Rattus norvegicus: one gene and its partner. The protein of the gene in region 2 purifies or fractionates together with the protein of the main gene of each other region. This does not show direct contact. Links are inferred from orthologs where the notes say so. Each region holds a gene or a part of one and is shown on either strand. Other genes may lie near its edges.

Region 1 (4,439 bases), on a different chromosome or scaffold from region 2:
GTGTGGCCTACGGTGCACTGAGGCTCCACAATGAGCACCGGAGCCAGGGGGACCACAATGGGAACACAGGGCACACACACCAGGACCCACAGACTGTCCAATAAAAACAGACTTTAATAGATGACTACTGCTCAAAATGCTATTACTCTTCACGAACTCTGACTGAAATGTCCTCAGCGTCCTAGAATTATGACCACCCAAGAGTATACCATTGTGGGCCAGCAAGATGGCTGGCTGGCTCAGTGTGGGAGGCAGTTGTTGGACAAGCCTGGTGTCCCAAGCTTGAAGAACTTGGGGACCAGAGCAAAGGCTGAAGAGAACTGACTCCACATAGTTGTCCTCTGACCTGCACTTGCATGCTCCCATGACCTCACGCTATAGTAATAAAAATAAACCCTTGGGTCAGTGGGAAAGCTCAGCAGGTAGAGGCCCCTGCCACCAAGCCTAAGTTCTTTCCATAACCATATGGTGGAGGTAGAGGACCAACTCCCACAGAAAAGTCCCTGTGACTTCCACATACGAGGTGTCATGCTTGCCCCACCACAAATACTAAATAAATAAAACTGTGGTTTGGTTTGGTTTGTTTTTTTTTTTTTGTTTTTTTTTTTGGTTCTTTTTTTCGGAGCTGGGGACCGAACCCAGGGCCTTGTGCTTCCTAGGTAAGCGCTCTACCACTGAGCTAAATCCCCAGCCCCTTGGTTTGGTTTTAAAACAGGAGCTAGTGAGATGGCTCAAGGGTTAAGAGCACTGGCTGCTTTTGCAGAGGACCTGAGTTCAATTCCCAGCAACCACATGGCAGCTCACAATTGACTATAAACTCCAATTCCAAGGAATCTGTCTGACTCTCTTCTGTCCTCCCCAGGAACTGTATATGGTGCAGTTACACACTCAGGCAAAACACTCATTCGTATAAAATAAAATGAAAAAAAATAAAATAAAAGCTTTCTAGAAAAACATAGCTTGGTAGTGCTGGTACCCCTCGCCTTTAATCCCAGCAGTCAGGAGGTGGAGGCAGGCGGATGGATCTCTGTGAGTTTGAGGCCAGCTTGGTCTATCTACAGGGCGAGTTTCAGGACGGCCTAGGCTATACAGAGAAACCCTGCCTTGAAAAACTAAGACCAAAATACTATTCCATAAGTGCCAGTCGAGCCAGCCAAGACTGAAACATTTAAGCATTTTATCAGAGCGGGTCACTTTGTACCCAGAAAGTGAAAATCAACATGGCAGAAGTGAGACAGGGAGAGGGAGGGACGGACACAAGCTCTGAGTTGTCAGCGGCATCTGAGAACGGAGCTGGCCTTACTAGTTTCTCGATGAAATCATCCACTGCTTGCCCAGCCTTCACGAGCAGTATGACCCGGCGGGGCTTCTTCAGCTTGGAGACCATGTCCTTTAAGGACTTAGCACCAATCACTTTGGTTCCTTTCGCCTCCTTGGCCAAGAAGTCATCAACTTTGGAGACGGTCCTATTGAAAGCACAGACCTGGAGGACAAAAGGCCTGTCAGAGGACCCGGCACACACCTGACCCTCAGGTGGCAGATCCAGCAACAGAGAGAGGTCTATTCTGTCCAATTCTAGAGAGCTGACCTGCCTTCTCTTTTTAAGTGCCAGATGAAAGTGCCCTGCAAAGTTCTGTCACAGCAGAGAACAGAGGGAAAGGCCCTTTGCCACTTGTTGCTTATCAAGTTGAGCCTGTCACTACTGCCCGGTCCTTTATCCCTGGTAATCCTGGCACCTAAGACATGCTACTATTTAGAAAGGACATTCAGAGCCCATTAGCAGGAGGATCCTCTAGCCCTGGACTCAGAAGGCTGAGATGGGAGGACGCTGAGTCCCCAGGGTAGCAACACTGGGAGATGAGATGCACAGAAAATGAAAACTCTCATCTTCACTTACCCCAAGTCTTGCTAGTCAACTGAGCTAGAGCCTCCAGGATCCGGGTCCTTTCCATCTGTGGTTCTCCGGCCTTCCTAATGCTGCAACCGTTTAACAGACATCGCACATCGTGATGACCCCCCCCAATCATAAAACTATTTTTGTAACTACTCCATAACTGTAATTCTGCTAGTGTTATAAACCGTAATGTTGAGAACCACTGCTTTTATATTTACTTCTATCCAAAGAGGCTCTTCCTTTAACTACAGAGACAGCACAACTAAAGCAGAAATTCTTCTACAAAGACCAGTAAGCAACAACAGGGCTTACTGAGGGAGAAGCTGCATCAGATCCCTTGAGATTCTCTGAAAAACAAATGACCAATCGCAAGGGGAAGGCGACGTGTCCTCAGTACTTACCACAAACCCATGATCATTCATGTTCAAAATTAAGTTCTGGCCCATGACAGCCAGTCCAATCAGTGCAATGTCAGCTCTGAAATGCCAGAAGGAAAAAAAAAAAAACAAAGAAAAGATATTAGTGTTAGTTGGTCGCTTTTAGGAGGACAGGTAGCCTGCACCCTTTTCTTCTGTGCACGCACCACATACACCTGGGATCGGCCGCACCCTGCACCTCACTGTTCCAAGGAAGTTCCTTTTAAAGGGCGTCCGGGCACACGAAGCCACTAATGCCCTGCCCCTGCCCCGTAATTCCTGATGGCCTGGCCAGCAGAAGGGGCGTGGGCCGTACCCCACACAGAGCGGATTCCTTCCCTCGACTCCCTCGCAGCCGCAAGCCCAAGAAGGGGCGGCCGAGTTTGCGCTGCCCAAGGCGGGGATCCTGAGGTGCAGGGGTCAGGGCTGAGCAAGGAGACCCAGGCGACCCCCGGGATTGAGGAGAGCAGGGATACGACTGAGTAGAGCCCCGACATCACCACGCTCAGCTCCGGAAGTCTCCCCGGCCCAACTGCGCGTGTGGGTCACTCACTGGGCCATGGCGGCGGTAGACAGAGCAGATCCGAGGAGGAAGAAACACGAAAAGACTGAGCGCTCCGGAGAAAGTGCTGTGAACTCCGGCTCCCGGCGCCTCAAGAGGCTTACTGAGACACCGGCCAATCAGAAGCCAGAGGTGGGGCGATGCCCACACCCTACTGGCTCTCTGCAGCGCCTGTTATACCACCTGAGGGCAAACGGACCCGCCCACCCCCGGGGCCAGATCTGTAGAGCGCCGAGTAGTCGATGGCACCTTGAGCAGGAGAGGAGCATTTAAAGGGATTTTGTAAGTGTTGTAACGGAACCAGGACACGATCTCTCTCGCCGGTGCGGGAGCTCGGGTCTGCAGCTCCGCCATGAAAGAGAAGACTCTGGGTTTGGTGTATCGCTAATGCTGTAACTCCGGTTAGACCACACATTACAATTTACCAAGCCCACAGGCGCGCTTGATCCCTGTTTCAACTCTGAGACAAGAATCAAGTCTGTCCTACCTGTGGGAACCCAAAGTGGTCAGTGTGCACCATTTCTGCAGATCGAGAAACAACAGTGCACACTAAGGCCCAAGAAGTGAGCCACGCGGGTGGAAGTAAATCCCATTCCACAAAGTTGGCTTCTGATCTCCACTGCAGCAGTGGCGCGAGCGCCCACACGCACAGAATGAGAAAAAGAAGAACGGAGGGGAGGCTCGAGGGTTTTTTGGTTTTCGTAATTATTTATTTTATGTGTATGTGTTTGCCTGCATGTATGTCCGTGTACCTCGTGCGTGGTTGGTGCTCGGGAGGTCAAGAAGAGGGCGTCGAATCACCTGGTAACAAAACTGGAATAAAGTTATTTATTGTAAATGTAGTGGAACACAAGTACTCATCTCTACCCTGTTTCCTCAGCCCCACTACATTGTAAATACTGAGTTTCTGGCTCCGGAGTAGGTCTGGAGTGCTGTTTTGCCTGCTGGTCCAACACCTTTTAGTTTCAATTTACTTTCCCACTCAGACTCAGGCGTTGGTGTGTTGCATCTAAACCCCTCTCTCTCCCTACGAGTGTTTATCATGACCTTCAATGAATTCCCTTTATCTTTTGTACGTTTTGCACACATAGGCATAATACTTGATGTCAAATGAAAAGATTGGTTTGTACCAGCTTCTTGGATTTTTTTTTCTCACTCCAGTATTATGAATCAAACCGTACGTTTTGAGCATTATAGGCTAGTGCTTTGCCCTTGAGCCACATCCCTTGCCCTGCCCTAAATGACTTTCTGTTTCTCTCTGTCTGTCTCTGTCTCTGTCTCTGTCTCTGTCTCTGTCTCTGTCTCTCTCTCTCTCTCTCTCTCTCTCTCTCTCTCTCTCTCTTTTCTGTCTTTCTGATAGGTACCTGATGTCCCCACTCCTCCCTCAAATTTGCCTTAGCTCTGAGCTGGTCAGACCATTATTTCCAGAACAAGGGAGTACCAGGTAGAGCTTCCCCTGGAAGATTTTTTTTTTTCTTTTTTTTCAGAGCTGGGGACCGAACCCAGGGCCTTGCGCTTGCTAGGCGAGAGCTCTACCACTGAGCTAAATCCCCAACCCCGATTTTTT
Region 2 (3,812 bases):
GTCTTCGTTCAGCCGGACTCAGTTAGTCTATTTGGATAATCCAAATTGCGCTGCCCCTGCCTCTACAAAAGACATGCAAAATCCATTTGCAGATGACTCCTCCCACCTGAAGGACACAGGTGTGGCCACACCGAAGCCCGTGCTGCCCAGAAACTGTAGTGTCCCCAGTCCAGCCCAGGTCTCCCTACTTGCAGCCCAGCCTACTTCCTAGTGCCTCAAATCACTACATGTGTTTTTCTTTTGTAAAAATTACTCATTTAGGATCTAGAGACATGGCTCGGTGGGTAAAGTGCCTGCCAGAATTTGGATCCCCAGAAGCTTATGAGAATGCTAGGCGAGTGTGGTGGCCTGCTCAGGTCCTGGGAGGCAGAGGCAGGCTCCCCTGAGCAAACTGGCTGCTTAGACTAACCAAGTCAGTGAGCTCTGAGGAAATAGAAGCTACCACAGCAGATAAGGTGGACATGGATGGCAAAAGATACCCTTCGTCAACTTCTGGTCCCTTCACGAGTACACACGTGCACATACACATGTGTACCCACACGTGCAAAGACACACACACACGTACACATATATCACACACATGTACATATTCAAATAAACTAGCTCATTATTCATAAATAGGTAAATACATACAATAAGATATTTTAAGAGACCTACAAAAGAATACCCACTGACTAAAATCTTCAGTGCCATTGGTTTGTAAAATCAGATGATTTCCCCTAAACAATGAAATAGTCACCACATTGACTGATGCCCTCTTCCGATTTCCTTCCCCTTCCATCCAGCATTCTAAACCACTAACCCATAAATGTGCAAAATATGCTGAATTTAATTTGGAAAAATTTCAAACCTCTACAAAAGAATAATGTAGCAAACACTTTACTGCCGTGGACCAGTCCTTCATGGGTTACTGAATTTATCTGATCCTTTCCAATAATAAAGGGTATTATATACTGCCCATGTGTATGTGGCTTGTGTGTGAGTACGCGTGTGTGTGTATGTGCACACGCGCGTGTGTGTGTGTGCACACGCATGTGTGCATGTGTGCATGTGTTTGCCCAAGACCAGAGGTTGACATTGAGGTGTCATCCCTCCACTTGATGTTTTGAGCCAGAGTCTCACTGTGTCTGGAGCTCACTGGCGAGACTGGCTACAAAAAAAAAAAAAAAAAGCATCTCCACATCTTTTTTGTTTCCTCGTCGTTTTCGATTGCTGTTGCTGCCTTTCTTATGAAGTGAATTCTTTGTCCTGACCAGAGCTCTTCAGATGCGGCGTACCTGGCAAGGCATGTGGGTTTACGAGTGGGAGTCCCGACGGAGACTGGGGCCCTCACCCTCAACAGACTCTGTGGCTCTGGTTTCCAGTCCATCGTGAGCGGATGTCAGGTAAGGACAGCCTCCTTACCTACCCTCTGAGTGGGCCGATAGTTATTTGAAGAACTGCTCCCCCTTGATAGGGAGTTTGATTCCTCGGTGCCTCCAGGTAATTAACCCAGACATAGTGTAATGGGTGAGCTATTTTCACACTGGTCTCTGTGGCAACATACTTTAAAAGAGGCTCCATGCCCTCCCAGAATTAACTTTAAACACAGTGCCAGCCTCCAGGAAGTTCATTGCTTGTATCTTTTCCGAGAGTTAGAAAGAAAGAGGTGGGAAAATGAAGTGGATCTCTTTATGAGTCTCCTAGTTTACCAGTTCCATTACTAAGACTGCCCCCCCATGCAGTTTTTGTGACTTTTAGATTGATGTGCCCTTTATTGTATGTTTAAGCCAGAGATTAGCATCTCTCTGGGTTTCCCAGATTCTTACTAAAGTAAGAATTACTATACTTAGAGCTGGGTGTGGCTCAGAGTTTAGGAGGCTGAGGTGAAGGCTTGCTACCCATCCCCAGCCAAGGTGAGCTACAGAATGAGACCCTGACGAAGAATAGGCAAAACAGGTAAGGCATGCTACTCCGGCACACGCAGGGAGGGCTGTTCACCCTACCCGCCCGTGTCTTTAAGTAGATTCTTTTACATCAGCCCTTCAGCAGCGTTATACATTTCTTTTTAGGTTACTGTAAATTAAGACCCAGTATTTGTTTAAATCACCACTAACTCATAAAGTCTTCGTATTTCTCAACTCGTACTCTGGATACAGTAGAAGGAATTGTGTTGTCTGCTTTTCAACAGGAAATCTGCTCGAAAGACGCTGAGGTCGTCTTATGTGGAGGAACCGAGAGCATGAGCCAGTCCCCCTACTCTGTCAGAAATGTGCGCTTCGGAACCAAATTTGGGTTAGATCTCAAGGTTTGGACCTTTAACTTTCTTTTCTTTTTTTTTTTTTTTCTTTTTTTTTTTTTCGGAGCTGGGGACCAAACCCAGGGCCTTGCGCTTGTTAGGCAAGCGCTCTACCACTGAGCTAAATCCCCAACTGGACCTTTAACTTTCTTAAATTATATGTTTATATAAATAATTTTCTATTTATATAAATTCTTCAATGTATATAAATAATTTTAATAACGTAACTTTTTAAGGGAGAAAAGAGTAATCTTGAACCCAGCTCTGTTCATGGAATACCACCAAGACTTGCATGGTTTAAAATTTACAGGCTATCAAAACTCATTAGTTTTAGTGTTTGAATCCACACAGGATTATACTTCACATGTCAAAGAAAACATAGGGAATGCGGAGGAAGAAGAGAAATAGATTCGTGAGAGATCTTAGTGACAGGACTTTTGCTGTGGATTGTGGGAGTTCAGCTTCTGGGGCTGTGTCTGCTGACTAGGTTTCGTCGTTATAGAAAATGCTGCATGTGCATACATCTATTTGATCAACTGTCCAGAAAATAGCCTGACCCACCACCCGTGAGAGCTGTCCGGTGAGAGCTGTCCGTAGGAACAGCATCTGTGAGGAAGGAGGATAGTGCATTGCCCTACTCACAGGAAAGGGCTAATGGCGTCCTCTGTTTCTCAGCATGATCCAGAGGCTGGTGACGGCTCAGTAAGAGCGCCTGCTGTGCAAACAGGAGGACCTGAGGCCAGGTCCCCAGCACCCACATACAAAGGTGGGCGTGGCTGTACTGATCTCTAACCTGGTGTTGGGGAATGGAGACAGGCAGATCCCTGGAATACTCTGGCAAGCCCCCCTAGCTAAAACAGAGCCCCCACTTCAGTGAGAGACCTGTCTTAAAGGCATAAAGTAGAAGGCAGTAGGGAAAGCCGTCCGAAGTCCTCTTCTGGCCTCTGTTTGTGCACACACCTCCTCACACTCACATACACAAGACGCATACCACACACGAATGCACACGATAAAAATAATGTAAATGAAGAGTTGTTTTGTAGAAAGAGAACCTTGTAATAGGTTCACCCACTGTCTCACAAGGTCTTTTGGAAACGAAGAAAACGAGACCTTAGAGAGCTCAGGTATTTCAGACACTGTATGTACTTAAAAACTCTCTGCTAAGACAGCAACATGGGAGTGTGGGCAGCGTCAAGGGGGACATCACTCCCAGGTGATGCCTGTCACTCTCGTCTATGCCTCAGTGACTGTCTCTGGTATTCTCAGTCTAATATTAACAAACAGAGCCACCCGCACCTGTCACTGAAGGGCGGGCAGGGCTGGAAAAGCTGGACACTGCTCTTCCCTCCAGACCACACAGCGGTTTGCTTAAAGGGGCTGCAGAAAATCCCCAAGAGCCCCGTGTTGGGCTCCTCACCAAAGGAGTCACTTGCGACTGGGGAGTAAACTCCTGGATCTCCCCTTGTATACTTACAGCTCTGAATTTAGAGTAGCATAAAAACATACAGCTATTTGTGAGACATTGGGTTTTTTT

Evidence for each region.
Region 1: the proteins of Acaa2 (region 2) and Pgd fractionate together in Homo sapiens (co-fractionation; 3 studies listed by BioGRID). This does not show direct contact. The link is inferred for Rattus norvegicus from reciprocal best matches to the Homo sapiens genes ACAA2 and PGD.

The regions. Positions count from the first base shown.
Region 1 is NC_086023.1:164,879,069-164,883,507, forward strand, and holds the start of Pgd (6-phosphogluconate dehydrogenase, decarboxylating), read right to left. Parts: upstream 2,962-4,439; 5' UTR 2,872-2,961; coding exon 2,864-2,871; intron 2,372-2,863; coding exon 2,296-2,371; intron 1,484-2,295; coding exon 1,304-1,483; intron 1-1,303. UniProt on the Homo sapiens protein: Catalyzes the oxidative decarboxylation of 6-phosphogluconate to ribulose 5-phosphate and CO(2), with concomitant reduction of NADP to NADPH.
Region 2 is NC_086036.1:70,630,296-70,634,107, forward strand, and holds part of Acaa2 (3-ketoacyl-CoA thiolase, mitochondrial), read left to right. Parts: intron 1-1,256; coding exon 1,257-1,385; intron 1,386-2,170; coding exon 2,171-2,287; intron 2,288-3,812. UniProt on the Homo sapiens protein: In the production of energy from fats, this is one of the enzymes that catalyzes the last step of the mitochondrial beta-oxidation pathway, an aerobic process breaking down fatty acids into acetyl-CoA.